4 linked regions of the Saccharomyces cerevisiae S288C genome follow. The gene in region 3 interacts genetically with the main gene of each other region. Each region holds a gene or a part of one and is shown on either strand. Other genes may lie near its edges.

What was found.
Region 1: mutations in BUD8 (region 3) and PNS1 together harm fitness more than expected from each alone (negative genetic interaction), as found in Saccharomyces cerevisiae (2 studies listed by BioGRID).
Region 2: mutations in BUD8 (region 3) and PMT6 together harm fitness more than expected from each alone (negative genetic interaction), as found in Saccharomyces cerevisiae (2 studies listed by BioGRID).
Region 4: of BUD8 (region 3) and BUD7, changing one enhances a phenotype caused by changing the other (phenotypic enhancement), as found in Saccharomyces cerevisiae (one study listed by BioGRID).

The regions. Positions count from the first base shown.
Region 1 is NC_001147.6:634,238-641,939, forward strand, and holds PNS1 (Pns1p), read right to left. Parts: upstream 4,322-7,702; coding exon 2,702-4,321; downstream 1-2,701. Other genes in the region: mRNA transport regulator MTR10, read left to right, coding at 1-2,520; YOR161C-C (uncharacterized protein), read right to left, coding at 4,884-5,030; YRR1 (Yrr1p), read right to left, coding at 5,323-7,702. UniProt on the Saccharomyces cerevisiae protein: Probably involved in transport through the plasma membrane.
Region 2 is NC_001139.9:891,816-900,281, reverse strand, and holds PMT6 (dolichyl-phosphate-mannose-protein mannosyltransferase PMT6), read right to left. Parts: upstream 2,781-8,466; coding exon 501-2,780; downstream 1-500. Other genes in the region: Elongator subunit ELP2, read left to right, coding at 1-378; YPP1 (Ypp1p), read right to left, coding at 3,136-5,589; SNG1 (Sng1p), read left to right, coding at 6,142-7,785; FYV8 (Fyv8p), read left to right, coding at 8,096-8,466. UniProt on the Saccharomyces cerevisiae protein: Protein O-mannosyltransferase involved in O-glycosylation which is essential for cell wall rigidity. Transfers mannose from Dol-P-mannose to Ser or Thr residues on proteins.
Region 3 is NC_001144.5:830,397-838,554, reverse strand, and holds BUD8 (Bud8p), read right to left. Parts: upstream 4,204-8,158; coding exon 2,392-4,203; downstream 1-2,391. Other genes in the region: ILV5 (ketol-acid reductoisomerase), read left to right, coding at 1-489; sedoheptulose-7-phosphate:D-glyceraldehyde-3-phosphate transaldolase TAL1, read left to right, coding at 1,198-2,205; LUG1 (Lug1p), read right to left, coding at 5,016-7,439. UniProt on the Saccharomyces cerevisiae protein: Involved in positioning the distal bud pole signal.
Region 4 is NC_001147.6:873,909-882,465, forward strand, and holds BUD7 (exomer complex subunit), read left to right. Parts: upstream 1-4,526; coding exon 4,527-6,767; downstream 6,768-8,557. Other genes in the region: YOR296W (uncharacterized protein), read left to right, coding at 1-163; TIM18 (Tim18p), read right to left, coding at 835-1,413; MUM3 (Mum3p), read left to right, coding at 1,691-3,130; MBF1 (multiprotein-bridging factor 1), read right to left, coding at 3,322-3,777; RAX1 (Rax1p), read left to right, coding at 7,057-8,364. UniProt on the Saccharomyces cerevisiae protein: Member of the CHS5-ARF1P-binding proteins (CHAPS) which mediates export of specific cargo proteins, including chitin synthase CHS3. May be involved in positioning the proximal bud pole signal.

The sequences.
Region 1 (7,702 bases), on a different chromosome or scaffold from region 3:
TCTTCACCATCTATATTATTAAACTTTTTAAGAATTTTACCTGAGGAAACCTTAGACATTGCATCTACTTCCTTGACAGAAGTGGAATTCAATTCCAGAATTCATGAACTAATTGATCCGATAGCAGAAGATGTATTGAAATTCCTTGTATCATGCATAGACCTATTACAAAATACAGACGGGAATTCCAGCTCATCTATTTCATTAGAACAAATTTTACGGTGTTTGAACTCTTGGTCGTATGAATTCCCTGTTGAACAGTTGCTAACCGTACAACCCTTAATAAATCTCGTGTTTGAAACTATTTCCAATGGTAATGAAAGTGACATGGAGGCATTCGATTCCGCTATTGATTGTCTCTGCGTTATCCTCAGAGAAAGCAGAGATACTACTAATGAGCAGTTGATTTCTGCTTTATTTCATCAGTTAATGCTTTTACAAGAAAAACTATTGCCTACTCTGTTCACAGACCATCCTTTGAACGATGAATATGATGACGATCTCCTAGAAGGTATGACACGATTATTCGTAGAAGCTGGCGAGGCTTGGTCAGTTGTCATTTCTAAAAACCCCGATTTTTTTAAACCAATGGTTTTGGTATTATTGATGTTGACCTGCAAAAATGAAGACTTAGATGTCGTTTCCTATACTTTCCCCTTTTGGTTTAACTTCAAACAAAGTTTAGTTTTGCCAAGATATCAAGAATCAAGAAAAGCTTACTCTGATATTTTTGTTAAATTAATAAATGGTATAATTACTCATTTACAATATCCATCAGGCCAGTTTTCATCTAAAGAGGAAGAAGATAAATTTAAAGATTTCAGGTATCATATGGGCGATGTGTTAAAAGACTGTACTGCAGTGGTGGGAACTTCTGAGGCTTTATCGCAACCACTAATAAGAATTAAGTCCGCAATAGAAAACAACAATAGCTGGCAAATAATGGAAGCCCCATTATTTTCCCTGAGGACTATGGCTAAAGAAATTTCGTTGACTGAAAACACTATATTGCCAGAAATCATTAAAATCATTTGTAACCTTCCAGAGCAGGCCAAGATTAGGTATGCATCAACATTAGTTCTTGGTAGATATACCGAATGGACAGCCAAGCATCCAGAACTACTAGAAGTTCAATTGCAATATATTTTTAACGGTTTTCAACTGCATGAGGGTTCATCGGATATGCAAAGTATAATCACTGCATCATCACATGCATTAATGTTCTTCTGTTCGGACTGCTCTAAACTATTAGTTGGGTATATTGATCAGTTGATTAATTTCTTCCTCAACGTGCAGAGTTCGATTGATATTGAGTCACAATTTGAACTATGTCAAGGATTAAGTGCAGTAATAAATAATCAGCCAGAGGCCAAAGTTTCAGTAATATTTCAAAAGCTCGTAGATGATAATTTGCGACAAATCGAGGCTTTGATTCCTCAATGGAAAGCAAATCCAACGCTCTTGGCTCCACAGATTGCTGATAAGATTGATTTGCTATATGCGCTTTTTGAAGAATTGAAACCGAGATACAATTATCCTCAGCAAGGATCGGAACCTTTACTCCCCAGGATAGAATTTATTTGGAAGGCATTAAGAACTCTGCTAGTTGATGCAGGTGCAATGACTGATAGTATTATCGTAGAAAGAGTAGCTAAATTGCTACGCAGAATTTTTGAGAGATTTCATGTATTTTGCGAGCCAATATTACCTTCTGTTGCCGAATTTCTAATCCAAGGTTATTTAACGACTGGATTCGGTTCCTATCTGTGGTGTTCTGGTTCCCTTATTGTTATATTTGGTGACGATGAATCATTCCCCATATCCCCGAGTCTGAAAGATGCTGTCTGGAAATTTGCCCTCTCCCAATGCGAGACGTTCATACTGAATTTCAACAAGTTTGATAAACTTCAATTAAACGATTATCATGAGGCAATAATCGATTTTTTCTCATTAATTTCAGACTTGATAATGTTTTATCCTGGCGCATTTTTGAATTCAACAGAGCTTCTAGGCCCCGTACTGAATGTTGCCCTCGAGTGTGTTAATAAGCTTGATAACTACGATGCTTACATATGTATCTTGCGTTGCTTAGATGATATCATATCCTGGGGGTTCAAGACTCCACCGATCTCAACAGTGTCCATCGAGATTGTTCCAGATGAATGGAGGAAGCAAGTTATTAACGAAGTCGTGATAGCCCACGGTAACCAATTGATATTAGTGTTATTCATCGGGCTGGTTACTACTTTTGAAAACACCGCTCATTCAGATGCCATCAGTTGTATTGTAAAATGTTTAAGGATATTGACAGAGGCAAACAACAACGATGCCACTATTTGCATCGATTGGATTTACAAAGTGGTGGAACAACTTGGCCAAGTAACCCTTAATGAAAGAGATAATTTGGCGAAGGCCGTGGTTGAGGGGTTGAATTCAAAGGATTACAGAAAGGTGAGGGAAGGAATTAGGGCGTTTGTTGGATGGTATTCAAGAAAGAATATCAATTCGAGGTTTGAATAGTCATTTAATAAATAGCATATTGTTAATCTGCACAGAATGTATAAAAACAAAATAAACAATTTAATAAAGATAGAACTTAAAGGTAATTGAAGTAGAAAAAATTAAGTATTAAAATATTGTAATTAAATATAGAATTGTTAAGAAGAACAAGGAGAAATAGTGACATATGATAAACATCTCTTCACACATTCTGGTGACTCAATTTTCTGAGTACATCAGGATATGCCCTAAAAATCTCATCAAACCTATGAGGGTAAGAATGATGGAAGACCTCCGGGTCATTACCAAGAGCAACAAAGAAAGTTGCAGTACCGGATCTAATGGCTTCTGTTGCAATGTTGCAAATCTGTAAAGCAATAACAAATGAGAATGCCATTAGGGCGCCGTTGTAAGCGCCGTTCGAATTGTATTGAGGCGAGGTAAACCTTAGATACAAGAACGTGAACAAAGCGGTCATATAACTAGCAAACATTGAAAATAGACCCAGTGCAATGTTAATTAAATTATCATTGATTAGGGCGTCCATTCCCTTTTCTCTTAACATATACCAGGTTTCTTTGGCCGCTCTTAAATACGGTTTACCATAAAGAGCGATGAACGAGTATGCATAATGATTGAAATACTCGGCGAGCCACTTCAGAAAGCCGATAATCCAGTCAAACACCATAAACAAAATCTGGATGGCAATTTGACCGCCACCGCTGGAGGTAACATCGTGTCTGATCATTTGCAATATTTGTCTCAACAGGTCGATCAAAGCGACTAGCAAGGACCCAAAGCAAATGGAACCGAACGAGTAAGTCATGGCTCTCTTCAATGCTCCAAATGCGGGCCACCTTGGCATTCCTTGGTCAGACTTTGACATATAATACCAGCTGCCAAAGACGCCAGAAATAACACAATGTATGACGTTTCTTATTACTTCAGAGATATAATAGCCGCAGAAAAAAACCACAACCAAAACACCAATCAATTTGGAATGCGAACAGCTGCCACCAGAAACGTCACAGCCGCCATTCGAGCTATTAGGATCGTACTTTATGTACGTAGCCACAATGACTGCTGAGAAGAGAAACCCAAACGCACTAGCAACTAGCGCTCCAACAAATGAAACAAAGAAGATCTGTGGGCATTTCTTCATGGCATCGACGACGACTTTCAATACCGCCACAGAAAGGGGAATTCTAGACCTCATACCCCAGTAGCACCACGCGGTCATGAACGTGAAGACTAAAAACACAATACCTGCAGACCAGTACCTCAAAGACATGTACATGATGGCAGTCCCAAGAGAAGCCACTAGGTTGATGACCATACCGCAATATATAAACTGCTTCGGAAAAATTCGACAAAGTGTGAGGCCCAAAACGGAGAATACTAGGGCAATAATGCACACGAAAACTAGCAGGATGGCAGCATTGGTGTTCAGCGTACCAGTATTCACACCATCGTATATTCCGGAACCCGTACTGCTATAGGTTTGGGACCACGCTCTTAAGGTTATGGCAGCAATGGCGATGAATCCGCCTACCGTGCATAGGAAAAAAATGGTAAATGGCCAATCGTTCCACCTGGGCTTGTTGTCATTTTCAGTAGGAAAGGCCTCGTCGAAGCTCCCTATAGGAGCCCCACTCGTTTTGGAATTTAGATTGTAATATTGATCCTGTCTAAAATGGTACGGCGTCTGGCCATCGTTGACATTCGCCGCGGCAGAGTTCTCGGAAGAACTGGGCGGCCTATGGTTGGGATCATATGCTGGAGGAGGTTGCGGAGGCCTCTCGTATTTTTCATTCAATGGCATGACGTATTAATGTACCGATAATTATGGTCACTATTGATGGCCCTAATCGGAAATATGCACCTTCAAGTTTTTTATAATGCGCAATTAAAAAAAGTAAGAAAGGAATATAGAAGCATTCAATTGCTATGATTACCAATAAGTAGCGATTACGACTGAACTACATTCAACGAATATCCGCATATCAATATATATATAAGGGCAAGCTACGTATAAGGATATATATGTGATGATAATGTTATATATAGCTGGCAATTACGCCATTACGCAAACAGAAAACCCCTTAAACCCCTCAAGGATCTACCGAAGGAAGAATCCTGTTAGAAGGGAACATACCAACCACAAAAAAAAAGAAAAAAAAGCATTCTGCAGTAATTAGCCGTAGTGGACTTTGTTTTTCTTTCTGCAAATGGCCGTGCGGTGTCGGGCGGGGTCTCTCACTCAGTACCATTACGTGTGATAACTCCGCTGGCGAGGTGCGCCGCTCCCTGCAGGCTCTCCGAGAGGAAATCTCTTCGCGTATGCTTATCCTTCATCAAGACGTCTTGGTAAGGACAACATTGCTCTACAGGATGTCGCCGCGTATGTCGCTCGAAGGGTAGTGAATGGCTGCATGTAGTACATAATTTGCGAAAAACAGTGGGCTTGCCAAAATCTGCCTCAGGTGACAAGCCATTTTTCCAGTGGGATGATCTACTCGTGTGTAAGACATGTCGAAACGCACGCTGTTGCATGAAAAGTAGTCGTACGGTTGTATGTGTGGTGTACGGGTGTAAAAGTAGTCAAGCGTATGGCGGTAAGCAGCGATTCAGCAATTCTATATCTGAATAAAGTGAACTTTTGTACCATCTTTAGTAGCCAGTTGATTCATTTTTTTCTGTCAGGTGCGGCCCATCATCGAAGTGGGTTGATAATCTGGGTAATTATATAAACATTTTGATCATAAAAAAGAACTAAAAAAAGGCTTCAAAGTAGTCGCGCCGCGAGATTGCCTCGACTTAGCATTAATTGTCTTTGTAATCATCGAAAAGAGTGGAAAATTCAGATTGATTAATCAACTCTTCCCAGCCTGAGTTATAATTTGCCCAAAATTCATCTGTCAGCATCTGAATGATCTCTGATTGACTCTTTGCATGGTTCTTAGTTTCACCAGGCGAGGGTAACATTGGAATTATTGAGGGCGTGGGCGTTGGAACTGCAAGGCTGAGATCCCGCTGCCTATCACTCACAATTTTAGCTTCTGATGATGGATTATCGCTCTGCGGATCTAGTTCTTGTTTGATTTGTGCTAGCCATGTTTCCTCGGTCAACTTTCTGAATTCAATAACGTTGCCAAGAATAGTCCTATAGGTCCTTTCAATAGCTAGCTCTATCACAAATTGTGATGATCTATGCATTGTGCGTATTAATTCTTTATTTCCGACCGTGAACAAGCGATCGAAGATTGACGAGTACAAGCTCATTGCTGTACCTAAAGATAGATCCTTGTCTAAAGGAACAGTCAATTTCGTCAAATCCGACCATCCAACTTCCATATCGTTGGATAGACATAGTCCATTTTCGAAAAGCGTCAACTTAAAGTAGATCAGAGAACAAAAAAACACCAATGTTTTGGAAAAAAGCCCTGCCGTGAGGCTCATTGATAACGCCATATGTGGCGGTAAGTGCGGGTTGGAGGCTTCGAATTTCTCTGGGTAAAGTGCTTTGTCGATACGATAGCATCGAATTGTGGTATTCACAATGATGGAAAAATTGATCAAAACCAATTGAAACGTATTATTTTTGGATTCTATGTTTCTGACTTTCAGCACAGAATGTATTAGTGCATAAAACGACAATAATAGTCCGACTGCCATACTTAAAATTCTACTTTCCCTTAATGGAACTTCTTCCGATATATTTTCACCTGTGTAATGTCCAAGTGGACCAAGTTCTTCTTCTACAAAATTGATAATTCGCTTGGAATAAGCTTTCAAATCCGGGAATTTATCTCTATCATAAAGAGTTAACAACATTGGCCTTGTAAGTTTTAAATATCTTTTCAGCTTCCCCTCATATGTTTTACTTTTACTATTCAATATGCAATGATCTTGGTTTTCGTCTAGATAAAATTTGTTAATCAATAAGGGTCTACCAACGTTACAAGATATGTTATAATCGATAAATATTGCCATTAACCAGACATTTTCTAAACTTTCGATGCTACCCATAAAAACCTCATGTTCCTTGAAAGTTTCTCTAATGTTTAAATGCAACCCTATTGTAGTAACCGTAGTAACTAAACATTCATTTATATTAACCAAATCGGAGCCATCTCCACCGAATGAATATGTTTCACGATGGTAGTAGAAAAGTATTAACATTTGTGCACGCTCAATGTAGAACACCTTAGCGGTGGAGGCCCCCTTTAGTAAAGTAAAGAACTTCTCAATTGGGGTTGGGACATCTGTATGGAAGTATTTCAGACATAGGATTAATAGTATCACAGCAGCTTTGTAATAATTTTTCTTTGGATTGGATAAAATATAAACTATGGATCTGTCACCTTCCGCCTTTACCTCTTTTTCGGGCATGAAATAATCTAAAAAGTCTCTTCTAACTTTTGCCTTATCAAGAATCACGTTGATCTCATTGCATGCTCCATCATTAAAGAAATCATCTAAAATAGACAAAGCTTTGTTATATGATGGTAGGAAACGACATATCTGTTTGATTAATGGATCTGGCTGCCAATCCGACTCATCCAAAAGGCCTAGTTCCCTGCACATCGTTTTTTGGTTGTTTTGCTTCCATTTATTTCTTTCTACTTTAACCTTCGCCCATAATTGTTTATATTTTTCAATGAACCCCCAATTACTATTTGCAATTTGGGTTCTCATAGAAGTGGGGCCGTATAGTGTTGATCTTCCGGAATGTTTACTTTGTAGGTAGTACCGGTCGGCATATGGATTTATTACACCATCGGGTAATGGAGATGAAGTTTCAGTAGAACCTCTACCTACACTAGTGCCTAAAGGAGGGAAATTTGGCGAAGTGTACATGGAGCTCGCAGACGAATTAGTGTTTTTTTCAGCTTCTAGAATACGTATTTTGTTTTCTAGTTCTTCAACTTTCTTAAGTAAATCGGCGTTAGGATAGGGACCATAGGTAGCTTTCTTTTCGATGTTTTTGTTGAATTCTTCAGCATATTGACAGGTTGTTAAGTTTCTAGAAATGCATGTAGAACACATAGGTTTTTGCTGATCACAACGAAGTTTTCTCCTTCTGCAAAAGCCACAAGATTTTATAAGCTTGTTTCTCTTCTTACCGCTAGTAGAAGTTGGTGTTCCTGAGTTACTTCCATTGGCTCCACCGGCCGTACTATTACTATTATCGCTTGGCGGC
Region 2 (8,466 bases), on a different chromosome or scaffold from region 3:
TTAGAGTTTGGTAATGTTTTTGTCACCGCGTCCAGGGATAAAACTGTCAAAGTATGGAGGCACCAAAAGGAGCCAGCTGATGACTACGTTCTGGAAGCATCAATTAAACACACTAAAGCTGTCACTGCTATTTCCATACATGACAGCATGATAAGAGAGAAAATTTTGATATCGGTGGGTCTTGAAAACGGTGAGATTTATTTATACAGTTATACTTTGGGAAAGTTTGAGTTAATAACGCAGCTAAACGAGGATATAACACCAGCAGACAAAATTACAAGATTGAGGTGGTCACATTTAAAGAGAAACGGTAAATTATTTTTAGGTGTAGGAAGTAGTGATTTGTCCACCCGTATATACTCATTAGCATATGAATAGGCAATATCTATATCATTTCTCATGTGAAAAGAAGAGGATAATAAGTTAATGCCTTTATTTGGCATTATTATTTACAATTTTCGTGATTCTGTGTAAAGGAGTTGGAGTTTTTTTTTTTTTTACTAAGGTGCGATATCCCAAGTAGATAACCACTGCAAAGGTAAGTATTCCGCTTTATCACCATGCATACCCTGACATATTGGAGCAAATAAATTATAAATGTATATACATCCGCCAAACAATGACAAATAGATGGGATATTTGACCATCCAATGGACTCTTGTCAAAGTGAAATCAAGCACAAATCCGAAAACAAGCATTGCAAAATATAAAGCGGGAACGTAGTGATGTACATACGTCACTCTCCCCATCATTGCAAAAGGCAGATAATGTGTCATCCAGGAAATGAAAGGAAAAATACCCTGTATCGTTATTTGCCAGATTTGATCGTCTGAGAGATAAAGCGTTTGTCTCCTCCAACGATATAATATAAAAAGAATAATAAATGGGAAGATGATTAAGGAGACAGTAGAAATCCATGTATTGAAGGGAGATCCCATCAAGTAATATCGAGTGATATATCCCGCCCATGAACACATTCTTAGCCCTTTATGCAAGGTTGGCCATTCCCATGCATCAGACGATAAACTATCATATTTATCCTCATCAGGCACTAACGCGTTATTAGAGGAGGCCATGGCAAAATTAGTTAGAATAAAATCGGTCCAAAAATTGGATTTTGGTGGAACGTAATCTTCTGCGGTTTCTAAATTGTGGTTCCAGTGATCTTCTACATTCCACCAGGTCGATTTGTCCCTACGACTCCAGGAGTCTTTGCAGACGATTTCAGCTTGTTTAAATCCCCAAGCTGGATACGTCAATCCAGTAGAAGCCAAGTAACAACCTAAAACTTTGTGTCTCAACCTGAAGAAAGTAGAAACTGGATGTAAAATAGTTGAATTCTCATTAGAATAGACGGGATTTGGTGAATCCATTTGTTTCACAATCTCCACTATCCAATCATCCTTTTCATCGCCAACACTTTGTGACCCATAGCCTGAAACCTCATAATTTCCTCTAGAGACGTGAGAAGGTACATCATGCGAGTGAAGATTCGATCCTGTATTTTTATGGCTGAGACGAACTTCCACACCATCCGTTATTGGGATTATTTTGCCATTCAAAGTCCCGTTCTGATCTAGTTCCAATCCAGAAGACCTAGAAAATTCAAACTTCCAAACATTATTAGAGTCTGCGAATCCATATCCAGTGATTTGGCGCTGTCCAGAGCCTTCTGGGTATACTTGAATATGTGAATGCAGCAGATTCGGGCTTAAACCATGCGACCTTATGGTTAACTCTGACCCAAATGCTACATCACGAGGACCCGCCTCAATCTGAGTTCCCTCCAAGTTTATCTGAAATAACGTATTTGTAGTAGAATCCCCCGTGCCAGATTTGTACAACAACACAAAGTGAATTTTGAAGCAATAGAGATAGATAAGAAAAGGAATTACTATCAGATTAATGATTCTGATAAGCCAATGTTTGTAATATTTTATTCTAGGCAATTCTTTATCACAATAGAGCAAAAATAGTTCTATACATGTGTAGAGGCCGACTACAACTGTGATAAAAAGACCAACCCATTTCACAGAACAAACGCAACCAATAGATAAACCAGTTAATAACATCCATAACGACCATTTTTTCGTCATTTGTTGCTTTCTCAACGTATACAACTTTATCATACAGGCAAAAGTCGTCATCGAGAAAAAAAGCAGCATTGAATCTAGCAATATGAATTTTGAGAGGACAATATATGAATGTTCCAACGTTACCATCGTAGCAATCAAATAAACAGTAAAATAATTGAACCCCATCCATTTGGCTGTAAAGAAAGCTACTGGTGTACATAGAGCTCCAAATGTGGCATTAAATTGTCTCATTAGTTTAAAGTTTACGTTTTCCGGATATGCATTATTAGAGGAAAAGTCAAATTGACCGTCAAATCCTGCCATCCATTCGCTCAATGCAATAAGCATTTTACCAAGTGGAGGGTGGACATCGTGGTAGTACTCATGTTTGATGTAGTATGATCCGAATTTCCCAAAATGAGCCTCATCCCAGACAACATAATTGTTCTGATCTATATGTTGGAATCTTAGATAAAACGAAGTTATAGTTAATAAAAGGGGACCTATGACATCCCTTAAAATTTTCAACGCAGTGTATTCTTCATTTTTTTTTGTCCTATGTTTTTCTTCTAGTTGCTCAAAGCAATCTAATTGTTCATCTTGAATATCGGAGGCATTAGCTTTTGGTTGATTAACATAACGTTCGCGTAAGTTTTCATCTTCAGTATCAATTGATGAAAATCCCGTTCCCTTGGCTTTACTCATTGGTAAATAATAAGAAAAACAGTATGTTAGGACTATCGTTTGGTATATTAAACTGCCAAGAGAAGATAATTTAAAGAATTGTTTCAACGCGAAACGTGACTATAGCTAATGCTCTTTTCAAATTATTGAACTTATTACATTTATAAAAACGGGTAACCTAATAACGTCAAGTATATGGGCAAAACCGTTATTGAAGAGAAGATGTTCCATTGTTCATCAAATTAATATAAATCAATGAATAATATAATACAACTAGATTGAATTACATCTTTATGCTTTCTATGAGTATCTTTACACCAGAATATACTTGCGCCCATATGTATATATGTGTGTGTATATATCAGAAGAATTATCGTTAGTAATTGCAATACCTTAGGGAGCGAATGGGATTCAACTCTTGGTATTTAATACATTTTAGCAAAGAGTTTTTGTACTCGTCATCTTGATATTTCTCGTAAATGAGGGACAAATACCACCAAACTTCTGGGGAATAGTAAGCCTCGATCGATTCTAGTATTGCGCACTCCAATAGAAATTTTAGTCTTGCATACGCTGCTGACCTATCTGTGTCATTAACGAACGTAAGTTTGGCCCTCTTACCTGGTTTTTTATCAAGGCTGAGAGTATAATAACGCTCAAGATTAGTTTCCTCGACGCCTAGTTCTTCAGGGAAAATTAATTCAGCGAATCCGACCAAGGCATCTAAATTATTCTCATCATAGTACAGAACTGTTTCAAATTCCTTTAATGCCACGCCTGGTTCATCTTTTATTATTGATAAATAACCGTTAGCAATATTACAATTTAAATTCTTGAATTTACTTTCGACATTGGAGGCTTCTTTGATGGCGGCCTTGGCATCCTCATCATTGTCTTTTGTTCTCATGTACATATTTGCAGCAAAAATCCACACCATTTGTAAAAGATATTCTTTAGTTTGAGAATATTTGGGACCCATGCTGTTCAATTCAGGTTGTGAATCTGGAAATAATGTTGCGTATAATTCAAAGACCTCTGGAAGTGTCTCCAGTGCCTCTAAAGTGCCAAAAATTTCTTCAATTAGCGCCAATTGCGTTAATTTTAGGTGAATAAATTGCCATCTATCATTCAGAAGTAAAGTATTGTTCTGAAGACTTTCATTCATAGCTTCTAGAACAGAGCAAACTATCTTGTACGACATTTCCTTATCCTCTTGCACAGACCTACAAAGAGCTAATAGATGCCAAGCTTTGTAGTAATTTGGGTTTTTACTTAATATCAATGATTCTAGAGTCTTGATTGCAGTTTCAATGTGCCTCTGTTGTGCTAGAGTGTAAGAATATTTAAATTGTAATTCACGTAATGCCTTCTCCTCCTCTCCTTCTTCCTGCTCTTCTACATCAGCATTGTCTTTTTCTTTTGTGGACAGCATCATTGCATTACATAGATATGAAGTCAAATTATTAGATACAAGAAAATCTAACTGATATTTTCTGATTTCGTACAATGTTGACCACGCATTTGTTAGAACTTTCGAAATGTTTCCTGGGTATACACATCTGGTGCTGTTTTCTAGCCAATCTAAAGATTCTGATTGGCTCATTAATGGCAAATTATATTCTTTGTAGAAGGAATTCAAGGAAGTCGCAAACGTAGATACCGTATTATCGTAATCAAAAACATTTTCGATTGAATCGGTTTTGGAGGAGTTTTGTAAAATAAAAGAATACGCATCAATGAATGAAATTATGTCACGGTGGGAGTTATCGTGCAGTTGATAGTACTTGTCGTTGTATTTCACAAAATTAACAAAATTTAGTATAGATTCTCTTTTAAATGTCTTCTTCTTTATTTCGTCATTACTGTTATCGCTTAGGTTTTGGAAAAGAAACATTGCTGTTTTCGAAACTTCAATACTTTGAAAAGTCTTTTCCATTGAAGATATTATGAAATTATACCAACTGGGATTCACTTTTATTTTTTTTATGTGAGTGAATTTGAAATAATACTGCAAAAAGACATTAAAATGCTCCAAAGCTTCATCATTTGTCTCACTAGCAGTAGGAAATTTGGCCTTCAACAAAACGTTCTGTCCGAACTTCAAATAAAGATCATCATTATCAATGTGCTTTTTGAGAGGTGACTGGAACTTCTTTATCATGTAAAGGAAAAGAATAAAAGGATTTTCGACGGTAGTTTTAAAATTTTCTGCTAAATCCTGAATTTGATTGAACCTGAGTTTTGCGACGATCAAGCTGATGTATTCGAAAAGAAGACCGTTTGATTCGGGAGGGATCGTATCCACGTGGGCCAGTAGTTCTTTGTAAAAAACATTTTGCATGATATTTATGTCTTGCGAAACTAGACCACGGTAGTACAGGTTTTCTACGATCAAATACCTATCATACTGCTCCATAAGTGCTGTTTTTTGCGATGCAGTGTTATTATGAATTTTCAACGAGTGCAGCAAGCACCGCTGCGATTCCTGAAATTGGCCCCTGTGGAAGAAAAGAATACCGAGGCAATTGAACAGAATTTTCTCCACTAGTTTTGTAATCTCCGGATAGTCATTCAACTCCTCCATCATACTCATATTCTTTTCTAAATTTTGACTTTCCTTCAGTAAAACATCACAAACTGGTTTTGCAGGCCCATTCGATCCAATAACATGGTAATGTAGTCTAAACTGTAAGTTAAGTACGGAATCTAAACTATCAAACCCTGAATTGAAGGTGCTGCCACCTAAGAGTCGCGCTCTTAGCGCTTGGTCGACCACATCTATTATCTTCGATGGAACAGTAGGAGGAATCCGAACATTTGAGTTAGGCATTGGGCAAGTTGGTATTGAACTTCTTTCCAGCTGGCGTGTTCAACTTGTTCCTTCCAGTATGCCACACATTATGCCTTGCACACCTAAAGCACATATTTTCGTTATTTTTCACCACAATAGGTGGATCTCGAAAAGGATGGAAAATCAGGAAAAAGAAATGTTGAGAAAAAAATAAACCGATTCCCGTTTAGTTTTCTCCTATTTCCGTGTATATGCGTGGTTATTCGTTTTCGAATCCTTTTATGAATGTCCGAGGAGGTGGTACAATCCGAAATAGACTAAAGAAAAGCGAAAGCCGTGAGTTTGTTTGATGATAGATGACTCGCAGCTTTGTCATCAACGGGCCACCCTATTCGAAGAAGGGAATGGAAAACGGACTGGCGTAGTCAATAAGCGTCTTCATATCTTAGCATTGTTGAGAGATACATAGTGTACTCCATATCGTTCTTTTTTTTTGTATATATCAAGCCACATATCCTGTTTCTTTAATCTTTTATACGCCGTAAGAATCGGGTACTGACATAAGTGTAAGTAGCCGTACAGAGAACAAATATGACTAAATCGGTTGGTGATGAAGAGTCACAGTACATTGAGGACCCTAGTTTTGCAGCAGCAGCTGCATTTACTGGCGGCAGGGACGGGGTTTCGTACAGTAATCAGCGATTTGCTGAGGGTTCCGGCCATTCTTCTGACTTAGCAAAGTCATTAGAAGACTATCGGCCTCCTGATGAAAAGCCGTCCTCATTGTCATCTGTGGGGGAAGGTGGCGCTAATGAGGAAGAGAAGGGCGGTAACGACGGCGGTCCCTTGGCAAGAATTCAAACAGGGCTTTTTTCTCCAAGACTGCGAAATCATAGGAAAAAGATTCTCTCGAAGTTTGTTTTGAACAACTTCTTCATTGCTTGTGTGTGTGTATCGCTCATATCGATTTACTGGGGTGCCTGTTACGGAACAGATCGTTACTTTTTCAAAGTGAAAAATATTGTTGTATTGCAGGATGCGCCATCTAATACTTCAGTTCAATCTATTTCCGCGATCATACCCTCATTGTTAGCGTCTGTCCCCGGGACATGGCATATATACAACGCAACATCATTTCATAGGAAATTTGGTACGACGAACTCCACCGAAATTGACAGAAAGATAGTCGATTTAATTTACGATGAGAGATACTGGCTGGCGTTAAACGTTAAACCTAATGCTACAGACACTTTGTATAATTCTTTGATTAGCCAAGACGCAAACTCGGAGTTCAATTCATCAATTTTTTTTGAATCCGTGTTTGAAAGTGGTCGTGACCCATCGAGTGTTAAATCGACCATTCTACCACTCATGCAACAATTGGAGGTCCGCCTTCAGAAATATTACGTCAAGGAATATCTTCCCTCATTGATGAGCAACATCACTTCTAATGACAGAGATCTTAATATAAACATGGAGAACTGGGCGATTGCAGGACAGTTGTTGTTCACCTACAACGATTATCGTCCCTTTGCTGATCGTATTCTAATGGCCCCTCTGCAGGTCGGTCTGATTTATTGTATTTTGTTAACCGTTTTACAACTGTCATTATATGGTAAGTTGCACGGAGAAATGGCCAGAGTTCTGAAGCCAAAGCATATTTTAATCTACAGGCTTCTAATTTCCTGGGCAACTTATTTTCTTCTTTCCATTGGATTCTGTACCGTATCTGCAATTTTTAGGATCGATTTCACCCCCGCCTTTGGCAGAGGAGGATTCGTAGTATATTGGATGTCTACGTGGTTGGTAATGATGGCTGTTGGTGGTGCCAATGAAAACGTTCTCAGCTTAGTTATAGCTTACTGCCCTCCATACCTGAGTATTTGGTTGATGACGTGGATCATATTAAATATTTCTGCTTCATTCTACCCAATGGTTTTGAACAACGAATTTTACAGGTACGGCTACATAATGCCAATCCATAATGCCGTGGATATCTATAAAGTGATTTTTTTGAATTTAACCAAAAGAAAAATGGGAAGAAATTACGGTATTCTCGTGGCATGGGTTGCCCTCAATACATCCTTGATGCCATTTTGTATGAAGTTTGCAGGTAAAAAAATGCAAAAAAATGCTATGCAAGCAGCAGAAGCCGCTGTCGCAGCAGCTACCCAGCGTGCTAGCCGCCCGGCAGAGGCCAATACTGATAAAAATAACAACCCGCCCGGAAATTAATGGGTAGGGTTAATAGCTTATTCATATATACACTTAATACGATTAAAAATTATTTATATTCTCATCATCATAAGATGAAGATGCAAATATCACAACAATTATATAACGTCGTTTGTTTGTTTGGTGACACATTAGTGTTTCATTCCGGGTAGCTATTTTGTTTTTCTCATGCCAAGAATTCTGTAAGGCACTTAAAAGTATTCCTAAATACCACTTTCATACATGGTTAACAAGGTAAACACAAAACTTGCATTATAGTTAAAAGGGACTGTTTGATCATTACCCTTTTTCTGGAAAGCGGATATTTATTATGAGCACTGAACAGGTCGGTAGAAAGAAATCGTATAGATGGGTTAGCGCATCTCAAGCAAGTTATGACGGCGCTGGATGGGACAGTAGTGACGAATATGACTACTCTTCCGAGGATGGCACAAAAGGTTCAGAAATTCACAAGCAAAAAATATCTAATTTGCCTAGTTTACCCAAGCTCAATTATACAGATGTTAATGGTGAGCATGATGAAAATACGGGTGAAAATAAAGACAGCAATGATAATAACGTCAGTAAGAGTGATATTAGTCCTAGTGACAAGGAAGTAGGCTATCTCTCAGATGGGGTGCCTAAACTTATGGCTTCAAGAGAGTCTGTGGAATTACAAGCGAAAAAATCCAGCGAGCACTC
Region 3 (8,158 bases):
TTGGCCGTTGCCATTGGTTCCGGTTACGTTTACCAAACCACTTTCGAAAGAGAAGTCAACTCTGACTTGTACGGTGAAAGAGGTTGTTTAATGGGTGGTATCCACGGTATGTTCTTGGCTCAATACGACGTCTTGAGAGAAAACGGTCACTCCCCATCTGAAGCTTTCAACGAAACCGTCGAAGAAGCTACCCAATCTCTATACCCATTGATCGGTAAGTACGGTATGGATTACATGTACGATGCTTGTTCCACCACCGCCAGAAGAGGTGCTTTGGACTGGTACCCAATCTTCAAGAATGCTTTGAAGCCTGTTTTCCAAGACTTGTACGAATCTACCAAGAACGGTACCGAAACCAAGAGATCTTTGGAATTCAACTCTCAACCTGACTACAGAGAAAAGCTAGAAAAGGAATTAGACACCATCAGAAACATGGAAATCTGGAAGGTTGGTAAGGAAGTCAGAAAGTTGAGACCAGAAAACCAATAAAGAGGAAAATAATATCAAGTGCTGGAAACTTTTTCTCTTGGAATTTTTGCAACATCAAGTCATAGTCAATTGAATTGACCCAATTTCACATTTAAGATTTTTTTTTTTTCATCCGACATACATCTGTACACTAGGAAGCCCTGTTTTTCTGAAGCAGCTTCAAATATATATATTTTTTACATATTTATTATGATTCAATGAACAATCTAATTAAATCGAAAACAAGAACCGAAACGCGAATAAATAATTTATTTAGATGGTGACAAGTGTATAAGTCCTCATCGGGACAGCTACGATTTCTCTTTCGGTTTTGGCTGAGCTACTGGTTGCTGTGACGCAGCGGCATTAGCGCGGCGTTATGAGCTACCCTCGTGGCCTGAAAGATGGCGGGAATAAAGCGGAACTAAAAATTACTGACTGAGCCATATTGAGGTCAATTTGTCAACTCGTCAAGTCACGTTTGGTGGACGGCCCCTTTCCAACGAATCGTATATACTAACATGCGCGCGCTTCCTATATACACATATACATATATATATATATATATATGTGTGCGTGTATGTGTACACCTGTATTTAATTTCCTTACTCGCGGGTTTTTCTTTTTTCTCAATTCTTGGCTTCCTCTTTCTCGAGTATATAATTTTTCAGGTAAAATTTAGTACGATAGTAAAATACTTCTCGAACTCGTCACATATACGTGTACATAATGTCTGAACCAGCTCAAAAGAAACAAAAGGTTGCTAACAACTCTCTAGAACAATTGAAAGCCTCCGGCACTGTCGTTGTTGCCGACACTGGTGATTTCGGCTCTATTGCCAAGTTTCAACCTCAAGACTCCACAACTAACCCATCATTGATCTTGGCTGCTGCCAAGCAACCAACTTACGCCAAGTTGATCGATGTTGCCGTGGAATACGGTAAGAAGCATGGTAAGACCACCGAAGAACAAGTCGAAAATGCTGTGGACAGATTGTTAGTCGAATTCGGTAAGGAGATCTTAAAGATTGTTCCAGGCAGAGTCTCCACCGAAGTTGATGCTAGATTGTCTTTTGACACTCAAGCTACCATTGAAAAGGCTAGACATATCATTAAATTGTTTGAACAAGAAGGTGTCTCCAAGGAAAGAGTCCTTATTAAAATTGCTTCCACTTGGGAAGGTATTCAAGCTGCCAAAGAATTGGAAGAAAAGGACGGTATCCACTGTAATTTGACTCTATTATTCTCCTTCGTTCAAGCAGTTGCCTGTGCCGAGGCCCAAGTTACTTTGATTTCCCCATTTGTTGGTAGAATTCTAGACTGGTACAAATCCAGCACTGGTAAAGATTACAAGGGTGAAGCCGACCCAGGTGTTATTTCCGTCAAGAAAATCTACAACTACTACAAGAAGTACGGTTACAAGACTATTGTTATGGGTGCTTCTTTCAGAAGCACTGACGAAATCAAAAACTTGGCTGGTGTTGACTATCTAACAATTTCTCCAGCTTTATTGGACAAGTTGATGAACAGTACTGAACCTTTCCCAAGAGTTTTGGACCCTGTCTCCGCTAAGAAGGAAGCCGGCGACAAGATTTCTTACATCAGCGACGAATCTAAATTCAGATTCGACTTGAATGAAGACGCTATGGCCACTGAAAAATTGTCCGAAGGTATCAGAAAATTCTCTGCCGATATTGTTACTCTATTCGACTTGATTGAAAAGAAAGTTACCGCTTAAGGAAGTATCTCGGAAATATTAATTTAGGCCATGTCCTTATGCACGTTTCTTTTGATACTTACGGGTACATGTACACAAGTATATCTATATATATAAATTAATGAAAATCCCCTATTTATATATATGACTTTAACGAGACAGAACAGTTTTTTATTTTTTATCCTATTTGATGAATGATACAGTTTCTTATTCACGTGTTATACCCACACCAAATCCAATAGCAATACCGGCCATCACAATCACTGTTTCGGCAGCCCCTAAGATCAGACAAAACATCCGGAACCACCTTAAATCAACGTCCCATATGAATCCTTGCAGCAAAGCCGCTCGGTGTTCTTTATTCATAAGCAACCTCATTAATCTATAGTCTGAAACTAATTTCCTTCTTGAGCTGCAGCCAATAATAAAAAATAATGGCGGCACTATACTACAACATAGGAGGATCACAATGATGTTTTCGATGCTGTAAACGTCCCTGAATCCATTTTGACCTGAATCAAACGAATGAATGGAAGCGGTATCGATATGTTGAATTGGCATTCTCGCCTCCAGGTCTATATTTTCAGCATCGTGCCTGTCTTCTTTCCTATTATCAGTTTTTTCTTGTTGCTTTCGTCGTATGCTTCGAGCTGGCTTTTCTATAATGGAGTTCTGTCCCGTGTCTGACTCCGAGCTTTGAGATTTAATTGGAGCTAGCACGAGGGGTTGTCCATGTTCTGGCAACGTTTTATTTTTCTTCTTGTTCATCTTGGTCAATGGAGAGGGCGTCTTGTGTCCTTCATAGCGTGAAAATGGATCAGACTTAGTTGAATTTCCAGATTCTAAGCGTAAAGGTGTCTTCGTCCATTTGCTTGGTCCGGACACACTTCTTAATACGGGAATTGAAGGTAGTCCAATTGGTGGACCTTCTTCTTCTAGGGATGTGGAGGGCTTGCGCGTAGATTTTGAACTGAATTTTTCTTCATTATTATGCCCTATATGGTCTTTAGGAGAACTTTCGTTACTACTGTCACTATTGTGTGAAGGAATCAATATGTTACCAATTAACGATGGACTCTGAGGAATTTTAATCTTCCTTGCCGACGTACCTGGCGCACCTGGCGAATGCGAATCATCACTTGTCGACGACTTTATTGATCCAGCCTTCTCTGGAATTTTTAGTTTGTGCGGTATAAATTTTGATTCATTCACAGGTTCGTATTGATCTATGACTTCATCCTCGGTCTCGCCTTCACCTTTACTGCCAGTTGAGCTTATAAAATTAACATTAGAAGTTTTATTCTTCGTTAGCCTCACTGCCTCTTCAACATCTGGTTCTAAGGTGTCATCGTAATGGTATGAGAAAAATGAGTGTTCCGTTGTTTCATTAGGTTCAATTGAGGTAGGACGTGGAGGTGTTCCATTCTTTGACTCGTCGTTCCCGCGATTCGCCAAAGATGAGTATAATGAAGATACGACCCTACTATGCTCTTGCTCTATAGGGCTTCCTTCAACATCTTCTCCCATAAGAACTGAAGTTGATATTGTCAGTGCGCAACTTAATCTCTGCGAAGATGGTGAATTCACTGCTCTTTCTGGCCGTACCGCCGCGTTTTGTGAAGGAGTTACGTTCCTTAACGGTACGGTATCCTCGTTGTCTCGTCGAAGTGAAGTTGGCCTTACAGTAGTGTTGCTTGGTATATTATTATCTTGGGTATCGTGAAATTGTGTAATAGAGGACGAGTTGCTACTAGAGCTAGAGCTTGTGGATGCTCCCATTATTTGAGAAAACCTTTCATTGTTGATGTATACAGCAAATCCTTGACCTCTACTTGTGGTTTCATAGGCAACAGTAGCCATCTCTGTCTCCGCATCGGGGTTCCCATGTGCTCCATTAAGATTTTCAAAAAACAAGGATGTTCTTAGTTGTAGTCTGGATGATACAGAGGAAGTACCACTATATGAAGTTGATGCTGTCGTTTCAGAAGAGTCCAAATTATCTTCGTCTGATTGTATCATACTTCATGTAGAATCGAAAAAATTCTCAAGTAGAAAGAGGATATTGGGTATTGTCAAAAATGCTTCGATTCAAGAAAGAAACTCCTAGAGTTAAGAGAAAGTTATAGTCTAAATTGAATTAAAATAAGCGAATGTAATTGGATTTATTATCTTATCAAAAGAATGAAAAGTATACCGGTAATCGCCTAGAAATAAAAATCGTCAATAATGAATATTAAAAAAGCAATTGAATGGTCTTTCTTTTGTTAACTAGAAGTTCGAACAAAACAGAGGTCGCGACTGGAAAGCTTCCAGTTGTTTTTGGATATCTTTATTATTTTCCTTCCTAAACCAATTGCCTGTTCTTAGTATGGGGTATTGATAATTGATGGAAGGTGATTGAAAATTATAATGAATTTTGCAGGTATCGCTTACGCGCAATAAAAAAACACACCACAATGAACTTAATCCTACTCTTATTAGCGTCAGGACTATCCGGTTTGGCCTCTCTAGTAAGCGGATGAGTAAATCATTTTCTAATTGTTTTTTTATTCTCTCTTTTGGATCATTTTTCGCAATGTTTACCTTTTTCGGAGGAGAGAGGCTTCCCTTATGAAAAAAAAAAAAATGGAAAACTTAAAAATCACATTGCGTTTCGAGGCATTCTTCAATCAGTTGATAGGGGAAGGGAATTTGCTGCAATCATTAAATTCGTTTCCGAAAAGTCTGGCTAAATGGTAGACGATGTATGCAATATTTTACCATATATAGAAATCATATACAAGACACAAGACGAGAGCGGAGGAAGGGTAAGGAAGTAAAGAGAAAAATATCTATGCTTTTAAACTGTAGTATCTATACATTCCACGCTCAATGCACCCAAAAACTTGATATTCGTTGACTATTTCAAAATGTAATCTATATCTTTGAGTCGTCAGAGGATCCTTTGGATCATAGACAAATTCATCGGGATGCGTGAAATAATAATTCTTACGCTTGTGAAGGTGGTTGAAGTGGGAGAAGGATAGAAACGATGCCGAGGACGAGTGTTCACCAGTTAAACTTGGTCTTGTTTTATTTCCTGAACGTGAGCGCGAACTTTCAAATAAGTGAAGTTGGGACCTTCTCCGTTGCAAGTCGGGATCGTGCAAATATTCGTCGTCAGTCTCTTCAAAGTTTGCGATTGTTCTTAGTTCCTGCTGCTCATCAGCTAACTCCTGAATTCTTTGTTCTTGCAATGATAGCTCACGTAAATCATGGACCGACCTATCCCAGTACAAACCATCCCTGATTTGAGATGCAGGAGAAACATTGATAGCAAAGGGGTTGGCAGAGGAAGAACCATTGTTGCTTCTTAAAGTGGGTCTGCTCAACAGAGAATTCCTTCTTGGGATGGCATTCACGTGATTTTGGCTATCTTCCACATGACTGTTGTTGTCGTCCTCATTATGGATGATTCTCCACCCACCACGAGGTAATGTTGGGGTAATTATTGGTAGTGGAGTATCACCAAGGCTGATCGCACCTTTTCTATTTAAGAATTGAGAAACTGGTGGCTTTAAATCTCTGTAACATAGTTTACGTCTAATACCACTTTGAGGAACTAGACCACATCCAAGCATGATTTTACTTTGGGCAAACTTTAGGAAATCCGGCTGGTTTATAATTTCTATGATTTTGTGACCCTCAAAATCATACCTAGTTAAATTTGACTTAGAATCCAAGTCATCACGATTCAGGAAAGGATCAGTCTTATATAACCAATATCTCCTACCATAAGAAGAATCAATGTAACATTTCCACTTTACTTGTTCTGCTGTTGAAATATCTTTAATTACCGAATTTGGGTTTTTATATCTGTATGCAATAATTTCATGTCTATCATTTAGTTTTTCAATCTGTTGCCACGAGTCAAAGGAAACTTCTAACGCGACTAAACTTGGAGAACAAGTGTACAATAATGAGTCCTGAATAGTCCATTTATTCACATAAGAGTTACCAGAAATATTCAAAAACTTCAATTTTTGAGCACAATTAGGATGGTCTTGATCAATTGGTGTCAAAAATTCTACGAGCGTAGATATCGGGATACTATTACCTTTTATACTCAAACTTTTTAACTTCGGAAAATTCCACTTTATGAACTGTAAGCTATCGCGGCATTGGTAATAATAAGTGGATTCGCTAATAGGGTCCTCGCCGAAAGAAGGTGCAACATGAAGCGGTAAACCGCCGATATTTAGATATTGCAAAGTTTTGTTATGGCCATGTTGACAAAGTTTTTTTAGTAAAAACATTGTGTGCACCTCATTCCAAGATGAGGAATGGGCAATGACACTAACATTCAGCCATTCTAATGTAGAAGTGTTGTCAGGGTCTGTAATTGTTGGGTGATGACTAAAAAACTCCAGAACCGCTCTTGGAGTAACTTGAAGACAAGTAGCGAGGGAAAGATGAGTTAAATTTTTCCAGTGAGGTATGCCGTGATATAAGGTACTATCATCAATGGAGGTATGAGATAAATCAAGTTTTTGTAGTTCTGGTAACATTTTTAAGATCTTCCAAAGGACGTGTGATGGTAGATCAATACAATCATTTAGGCCTAAGCAGGTAATCTGATAATTTTGTTGAATAGGTTCCAGCCGGTACTGATCAATCGATTTATTAGGGTAGTATTTATCCAGGGCCTTAATAAAACTTTCTGTGAAAGTGGTGCCTGAACAGCCACAGAAATCCACTACACTCAAGACTTTTCCTGGAGATAGAATATACTTTATGATATTATCGTCTAAATCGTCTTGAATATTTTCACATGCTAAGAATTCCCTTAAGTTTGCTTTTGTGAGCATTAGAAACTCAAGAAGAGTTTCGTTAGTTAGATTTTTAATCATTTTATTCATCTCACTGGACCTCCCCAGTCCAATAGACGTTAATTCTTGGAAATCGGCTACTTCAATCTTATTGCAAAGGCATCTATTTCCCTTTAAAGTCTGTAAAAGACCGTGAAATCTCTTTGCGGTAGTTAAATTACAATATCTATAAATGAGAACTTGACAAATATGGGAGAATGTCTTATTAACAGTTAAATTACTTTTGACAAATGTAGTTAAGTTTTCGTTAAACTTTTCTGCCGTACCTGGATGGTCATTTCTTAACAAATCCCTAAACTGGTATGTAAGTATTTGGTACACAATTTCTGGAGGAATAGCCGCTCCCAAAGATTGGCTTGACAAGGTCTTGGACTTCAAATCTGGCATTTGGCTTCTTCCGACTCTGTTGTTTCCTATTGTTTCTAATAGGGTACGTACTGCCACGTATTTAATGAGCTGAATAAGATCACAGTTTTAGTATTGCCCCAACCTTATAAGCGCTAGTTAGATATAAAAGGATAAGGGTAGCAATATAAATACAACTTAGTTGGTGGTAAGAGTAATGTCTACAACTTTTAAGAATTGTCGGATCACTACTTCATCAGATGAGGAGGGGAGGGTACACCAAATTCCACCTCTAATTCAATGAGCCATGTGAAATAGCGCGGGTAACATACCTCCGTGAGGCATCCTTTTATTTGACTCTAATGGGGAATTGTACAAATTGGCTTCAAGAATTGAGTAAACGGGGAAGGAATAGTACAAAGTTGGTGCCATAGTACGTGTGATGGAAAAAAACTATCGCTGAACAGGAACTTAAGTAGCTACAGCGGCTATTTTATACGCTCGAACGCACAAATTGATAAAAAAAAATTCTTGACTGTAGACTGTGTATTGATAAAACAAATCCACGAGCTGAAGGTAACACAATTGACATGCAAAGCACAAGGCCACTAATTTGGAATCGTCCCGCTCTGCTTTCTGAAACCATGCGGGCCTTATCAATGCACAGATACGTCATCAGGTACGAACACGATATTAAAATTATCAATAATGTTGTATGATATCTTGCTAACTTAATTTGATTCTTGTAAAAACACAGCTTT
Region 4 (8,557 bases), on a different chromosome or scaffold from region 3:
TGCAGAAGTAATGAATATTATATTGAGAATATTGATCGCGAAAGGCCAACATGATTACGTTCATCGAATTTTACATGACAGAAAAGAACTTGTTAATACTATGAAAAATAGAAGAGCGGTGAGTAGAGCGGTCACTCCTACAGGAAAAAAGGGCAGAAACTGAAGTCTCTTTTATATATATACATGGGGTGCTGACTAAACAGTTCCACCCTATATTTGAGCGTCGATAAAAAATGAATGAACGTGTATCATCGTTTATTATAAGAATCATAGTTTTATGGACAAGTTTTCCGTTTAGCATTTATACCCATATAGTAAAAAGTTTCGCAGATAGTGCGATAGTTGTATTCTGATTGCCTTATTATTATTTCACTAATTCTTTATTCACGTAGAGCATGACACTTTTTTTATGTGTTTCCTTTTGATTGTGAAATAAAGGCGAATCCTAACAAATATTAAAATGTTTCAATACATTGATAAAAATTGTAAACATTATTTTTTTGTAGTATAAAAATTCGTTCCTCATCATTAAAGAAACAAAAAGCATACAGATAATAATAAAAAAGGCACTTTAGACAGAATGAGAATACTAGCAATCACGAATTCCTACTTTTCCTTTCTGTATCCCTAGGCGTTTCACTCGACAAGAATTGATCGTCTTGTACCAATCCAAGCAGATCGATATATACATATATATCTGGATTTCGAGAAGAAGGATATATTTTATTGCTTATTTGTCTTTTTATAAAATCTCTCCTAAGTTAAGTTCATGGGGAATCTGACTCTAAAAATGAAATCTTAGAAATGCAAAAAAAAAGAAAAAGTATGGGTGAGTCAGTTTCTTCCAAATATATACAAATGGTCATCATTTTCATTCCAAAGTTTCTTTACCAGGTCAACAAAACCATTATTTTTCGTTTCCAATTCGTAGATACCGTACAGGGACAACATGGATCCTCCATAGAGGCAATAAAGGGCGAGCTTATGCCATCTTGGATACTTTTCCTTCGGTATATAGTCAATAATACAACTTGTGAAGCCATACTGTAAATATATCAAAAAAATGGACGATAAAGACGCATCGAGTAAAGGATTTATAACCCCGCCGGTAAAGGAGGCATAAAAAGGTACCATTGTTAATGGAATCAAAGTATATTTTGCTATTCTCTCATAGTCTTTTTGATAAGAGTCCTTAAATTGAGAGAACTCTGGGGGCTTAAACATCTGCACTGAAGAGGATGCCTCTTTTGACGTATTTGCAATATCGTTTATTTTATTTTCAGCATTTAAACGATTAATGCTATAAAAGGATCTTTTGGTTGAAAGTACTAATCCTGGAAAAACAGCTCGTACAGGATTTACAATGACAGTGGAAGCATTAAGAACAGGCTTCAAGCCAGGAAACAATAGCATTACCAAAGGTATTAAATTACTCAGTTGTTGCACCTCGCATCACCGTTAATTAATGTGTGCATTCCACTGTCTGGAAGTTTTCATTTTTATCCGATCTTTTGCGAGAATGGTTTGTTTTTCAAAAAAACCGAGTGTCAACAAGGCATGTAGCGACACAAAATGAAAAATTGAAAGTTAACAGGGCAAGATATGCACCATAATAGATTCATTGTTAATCTTAATCAAATAAAATTTCTCTTTTCCACACAGAAAACTAAACGAAAGGTATAACTTTAAGATGGGTTTTGTTGATTTCTTCGAAACATATATGGTCGGTTCTAGGGTCCAGTTCAAACAGTTAGATATTTCTGATTGGTTGAGTCTGACCCCAAGGTTGCTTATTCTTTTTGGCTATTTTTACCTTCATTCTTTTTTTACTGCAATCAATCAATTCCTACAGTTCATTAACACGAATTCCTTCTGTCTTAGACTGCATTTACTATATGACAGATTTTGGTCGCATGTGCCCATAATAGGTGAGTACAAAATTCGGCTGCTCTCGAGGGCACTGACATATAGTAAACTGAAAATAATACCAACTTTAGACAAGGTGCTGGAGGCGATTGAAATTTGGTTTCAGCTACATTTAGTTGAAATGACCTTCGAAAAAAAAAAAAACGTCCAAATTTTCATAACCGAGGGAAGTGATGACCTAAACTTTTTTAAAGATAGCAAATTCCAAACCACATTAATGATATGTAATCATCGATCAGTGAATGACTACACATTGATTAATTACCTTTTTCTCAAAAGTTGTCCCACCAAGTTTTATACTAAATGGGAATTTCTACAAAAGCTGAGGAAGGGGGAAGATCTAGCTGAATGGCCTCAGTTAAAATTTCTTGGTTGGGGAAAAATGTTTAACTTTCCTCGATTGGATCTACTAAAGAACATATTCTTCAAAGATGAAACACTCGCACTCTCATCGAATGAGTTAAGAGATATTTTAGAAAGACAAAACAATCAAGCTATTACTATTTTTCCCGAAGTCAATATCATGAGTTTGGAACTATCAATTATTCAAAGAAAATTACACCAAGATTTTCCCTTTGTTATAAACTTCTATAATTTATTATACCCAAGATTTAAAAACTTTACCACTTTGATGGCTGCTTTTTCATCAATTAAAAACATCAAAAGAAAGAAAAACCGTAACAATATAATCAAAGAGGCCCGATACCTGTTTCACAGAGAACTTGACAAATTAGTTCACAAGAGCATGAAAATGGAGTCTTCCAAGGTATCCGATAAGACGACGCCGCCCATGATCGTAGATAATTCATACTTACTTACAAAAAAGGAAGAAATCAGCAGCGGCAAGCCCAAGGTGGTACGAATCAATCCATACATATATGATGTCACCATAATTTATTACCGAGTCAAATATACTGATAGTGGGCATGATCATACCAACGGAGATTTGAGACTTCATAAAGGTTATCAATTAGAGCAAATATCTCCGACAATCTTTGAGATGATTCAACCAGAAATGGAGTCTGAAAACAACATAAAGGATAAGGACCCCATTGTTGTGATGGTAAATGTAAAAAAGCATCAAATTCAACCATTACTCGCATACAATGATGAGAGTTTAGAAAAGTGGCTTGAAAATAGGTGGATAGAAAAAGATAGATTAATCGAGTCCTTGCAAAAAAATATTAAAATTGAGACCAAATAAAGATCCTGAATCATAATATATACGTGTGTACTTCACTTTCTATAGAGGAAAAAAAGCTAAAAAAAAAAAAAAATGATAAAATAAACGAAAAAAACCATAAAACGATCATGATAGAATAATGTACATTATTAAGAATGCTTCATTGATGACATGCAGTGCGAAAAGAAAGGAACAAATGAAAGAAGACCTCTTCATTTCTTCTTTGGAGCTCCCAAAGGCGAACCGATGTTGTTACCTCTCAATTTAACGCCTAAGGCTCTTTCCAACTTAGACAAAACTTGTTGGTTTGGAATAGCTCTAGCGGCTTCATAATCGTTTACCACGGTTGGCTTTTCGTTAATTTTGGTTGCCAAATCCTTCTGCGACATTTTCTTGTCTGTTCTGGCACGCGAGATGGCCCTACCGACATTTGGATCCAATTTCTTGGGTTTGACAATATCTGTCTCACGGTCGACCTTGGTCAACCTCTGACCCTCGTTGTCACCCCTCGTATTGGTTGATCCGTACTTCTTGTCAACGGAAACAACCAACCCCTGTCTTCTTGCAGCATTAATTTGGCCTTGAGATCTGGCAACGTTGGCCCTTGGGCCAGAACCACCAGCTCTTGCTCTGCTACCAATAATAGTATTTGTATCCCAGTCAGACATTTTTCTTTACGATTTTGCTCGTTAACTTTTTTGTTTTCTAGCTTATTAGCTTTTACAGTTATGGAAGCGTAGATTCAACCTTCCCTAACACATGAAACTATTATTGGTTAAGCGACAGGCGCCTTTCCAGCTACCTAATATATACCACCACCGTCAAGGGGCGCCCGTTCATGAAAGAGGCAACGATGGTGATCGATTATTTCCAGGAATTGTTCCATGACGTTCTACGTGGTTCTCTTGGTCGGGTAATACAATCAGGGTAACATAGTCAGGGTAACAGAATCCTTGCTTCTATTACCCTCCAATGCAAAGTTGACTGGCGTACATTTGGGCCAAGTATCAGGCCTACCATCTTTTCATCAGTGTTCGATAAATGAGACGTAGTGACCCAAATTCAGTATGTCTTGATAGCTTAGTAAGACTTATAAGCATTTTCACGCATCTTGGAAGAAAGTTGCGAGCATTGCCTTAAGATTCTGTCATGCGGGTGTCGATAGCGTCACGTGAACACATTCCAAGTCCTTTTTTCTTCACCTTTTTCGGTACCTGGTACCTGAGCCAGGAATAGAAGAAGGATCTGAAAAACGTATGCAAATATAGCAAGAGGGCGTAAGCTTAGCCTCGAGGCAATGGCGTTTTAATTATTTTAAGATTTTTTTTCCATAAATAGTGCTGTTATTAAGTTGAAGTGTTTGAGAAGGGAGTGAGCGCAAAAAAATAAAGAACTAAGGAAGAAGAGCTTCCCTCAGATGATTACGCAGAATTCTATACCAGAGGTAAAAGAAGATTTTATTGGTTATGCTTTACATGAGAGAAGAATTCGGTTACCGCAGTTTCAAGACTTAGGGCCGGCAGACTTGGTCACACTAACAAAGTATTTGCCCACTTCAAGTAACACAAATGCCATAAACAGTACGAGTAGAAATGGTGCGGCCATTATTCAGTCCCCTGCAGCCGTTGTAGCCGATGACTCTGCCGCTTCCATGGCAACCAATGGCGATGCTAGTGACACCGCCGTTACCACAAATTATACAAATGCATCTATATACAGTAGCAGCAGAAATGCCAATGATGGAGCCCCGATGGTCGCTGAGCTCCATCCACTTGATAAACTGAAGGACGAAGTAGGGACATTTTTTTACTCAATGGGTGTCGATACATCCGGTCCAACTTCAATCGCAATTTTTTTGAAGGAGATTTCAGAGGTCATCAGCGAGAAACCCCAAGTTTGGTTTGGCAGGAAGAAAACCTTCAATGTTGCTCGAATTTCATTTTCCACTTGGAATGCGTTCAGGAGATGCGACATAAATGTCGTCGTTCATATTCCAGGATCGATTCAGAACTTTATAGTGGATTGCAACGGTGAAAGTCAAAATATAGAGATGTGTGCGGATTATGACTTAATTTGGGCTGAAACGTTCGTAAGTGGCGTAGTACGGTCAATCATGTTAATGAAGGAAAACGCTGAAGAGGGAGAATTACAAAATTTAGTGGAAACCTTGATTTTGAACCCGTTTACTGCAGGACAAATCGACGATGTACCAGAAATGTTCATTGATCTGTTCCCTATAGTTTACCATAAGGGCCCATTATTGGGAGCTCCGTATTATATTACCAATGTGACGAACACTAATAACTATTTGGTAGAAACACTCGTTGAGATAGTTAAGCTGACTCGTAATGTTAGCAGGGCGGAAATAATGTTGAAGAATCTGGCTACCGACAACCCTGAGGCGATCATAATACTAATCAAGATCTTTTTGGTGTGTGATCAAGAATTAGACGCAATAAAGCTCACATACGATATGCTTTCGCAGGATAAAATAATAAACAACACTAATAACCGCATGGATTATAAATCTGAATTACTGTGCTTACAAGCGCAATTTTTGATAGACAAAAGGCAGGATTACAGCTTGGCGCAAAACATAGCGCAAGAGGCAGTCAATTGTTCTCCCAGTGAATTTAGACCTTGGTATCTTTTATCCAAGGTGTATGTAAAGCTAAATGATATTGAAAATGCCTTACTGATACTGAATTCATGCCCTATGTCTCCATTAAAGGAAAAATACGTACTGAAAAGAGTAGCTCCGTTGCCTTCGAATAATAGTCTTCATTTGCCATTGCCAATTGACGTTGTACTGGATGAAGTGACGTCGTTGAATCCACAAGACGTTCAGAATGAACACCGCTCTGCGGATCCAATGCTGGTCAATTTAGCTGCGTCGAACTTGAAATCTACTTTCCAATTGGCATACCGATTATTGACAGAAATTGTGCAGATCACCGGCTGGGAAAATCTGTTAAAGTACAGATCAAACATTTTCGTTATGGAAGAAGAGTACCAAAAATCATCATCTTCGTTACCAAAGGACGTTAACAAACAAGAAGAACAGCCTCTGAGGGCTAAACGGCTGTGTGAACGATGGTTAGACAACCTCTTCATGCTTTTATATGAAGACCTGAAGATGTATACATTATGGCAAACCGAACAACTGTACATGGATGCACAGAATAACAACCACAATAAGTTGACTTTCGAATGGGAGTTATTTGGCCTTTGTGCACGTCGACTGGGCCATTTCCCTGAGGCCGCCAAGGCCTTCCAGAACGGTTTATCGCAGAGATTTTCATCAAGGTGCGCGAGGAAACTGCTGGAATATTGTATAAACGAACGCCAACGGGTCAAAAATTTTATAAACTCACCTAATTCGCATGACATGGTCCCTGAAATAGTAAGCTCACGCATAAGAGAGCTAGACAATAGCATTATCGACCTTTGCGTGAAGATATGCTGCTGGAACCACCGTTGGTATACGGAATTTTCCATAAGTTTACTTGATTGTTTAAGTGTGGTTATTCAAGATATGAGTCTGACCAAAGTTTCGAATGAAATCTCGTCAAGATATCCAGAAACTGTTCTCAACTTGGTGCAGGAGAATTTGCTCAATTTCTTCACTACTTGCACCATTGGATGCTACGATGCATAAATACGATAAAAAGACATTAATACGTATATATAATCCAAAAAAAATTGGCGATACGCTTCAACGTTGTGTCAAACTCTTGGGTCACTTTAAAGAAAACCCAGCATACATTAATACAGAGCAATGCTGGTTATGTAACTTCGCCGCCCGCCGCCATTCGAGGAAAAATATTCGTGTTTCGAGAATGCGGGCAAAACGAAAATATCAATAAAACACATACGGGAAATTCATTGTGCACAACGACCTCTAACAATTTCTGCCAAAAAGAAAGTTCAAGAGCGTCCCATTCATCATGAAGGAAGAGCTCAGCAAAGTGAGCAGTATGCAAAATTTCGAGATGATCCAGCGTGAACGATTGCCAACATTGTATGAAGTGTTAATACAGAGGACATCGCAGCCAGTTGATCTCTGGACTTTTTATACATTTCTTTCACAATTCCCATATGCCATCAACTATCTGGACTTTTGGGTTGACCTTATGACACATACACGACTTTGCAAAAACTACATAGAGTTGGTAAGAAAATCATTAATCAACTTTCCACAAGAACAACAGCAGAATGGAAGTACATCTACGGCTACATTTGACTTGCTGAACGCACTGATAGAAGAAGGGCACCTAGACCCGGAAGCACCTGATAAACTCTTAGAAAATAGCGGCCCAGACGTGCCCTTTTCACCAAAATTAAACGAATTGCTGGGTGATTGGAAGCACCAATCGGGTATCGGTCAAGAAGCCCTGAGAAACGAAGACGTAGCGCTGATCGTCGACGAGATAATGAAAAGGCGCTCCCAACAAGACGGAAAACCGCAGATAACTACAAAACAACTGCTGCACAGCGCAGTTGGTCTCTGCAACACCTATTTAGTATCGCCCGAACAAAGCGAACGGTACCTGAGCAACATCCCCATGGAAACGCGGAACCGCATAATAGAAAGCGTACAAATCGAGCGAAAGTACGACATTGAGATTTTTGACGACCTAAAAAACCTAACTTACCAATTCCTAGAAATGGATTGTTTCCCAAAATTTCTAAGCCGCGTCGCACTACACAACATCCACGATGAAATATCTGATTGGAGATTCCACTCAGTGGGCGTCACCAACGAAAAAAGCAATCGCTCTCGAGGCCAGACGCACATTTCTCGCTCGCCATTCTCCAATCACACGTCAATCAGTCGTATTGGCTTTGGTTTGCTCTGGCTAGGCATCGGCTTTTGGATCGGATATGTTCTAATCTTCCTGGCGTATAGTCGCGCAATCCGTGTCGTTACGGTCGTGCCATTTACACTGGGATGCTACTGCATTGTGTGTGGCATGTATCAAGTGGACATTGTGTATTCCTGGTTTGGCGTCACACAGAGACTTCTCCACAGACACAAAAACGCTGGCAATGACGAAGGAGATGCTTCTAGTGATACCGATCACGTGCCAATGATACTTGCGGTGTTCGGCGGTAGGCGCCGTCTTACCCGCATAGAGCACCCATTTACTCGGCAGCTTCTACGTAAGCGTGGACTGTGGTGTCTGCTTCTCGTAGTGGGTGCCACTGCCGCATTCACAGTTATTTTCAGCTGTGTTCCCGGCCGTCGTGTATGATGTAATCCATCACCCCCCTATAAAAACACCTGTGCACCGCATATTTCCATAGCGCGTGACGCTAAGTACAAGAAACAGCGAGGGGCCGTTAAGTGCAGGCTTTACCGAGGGCGCCGGCTGGCGCTTCCCGTGGAAGGGTGTTTGACTCATCATCGCATCGCATTACCTCATGATGAGTAAATAGTTGCGATTT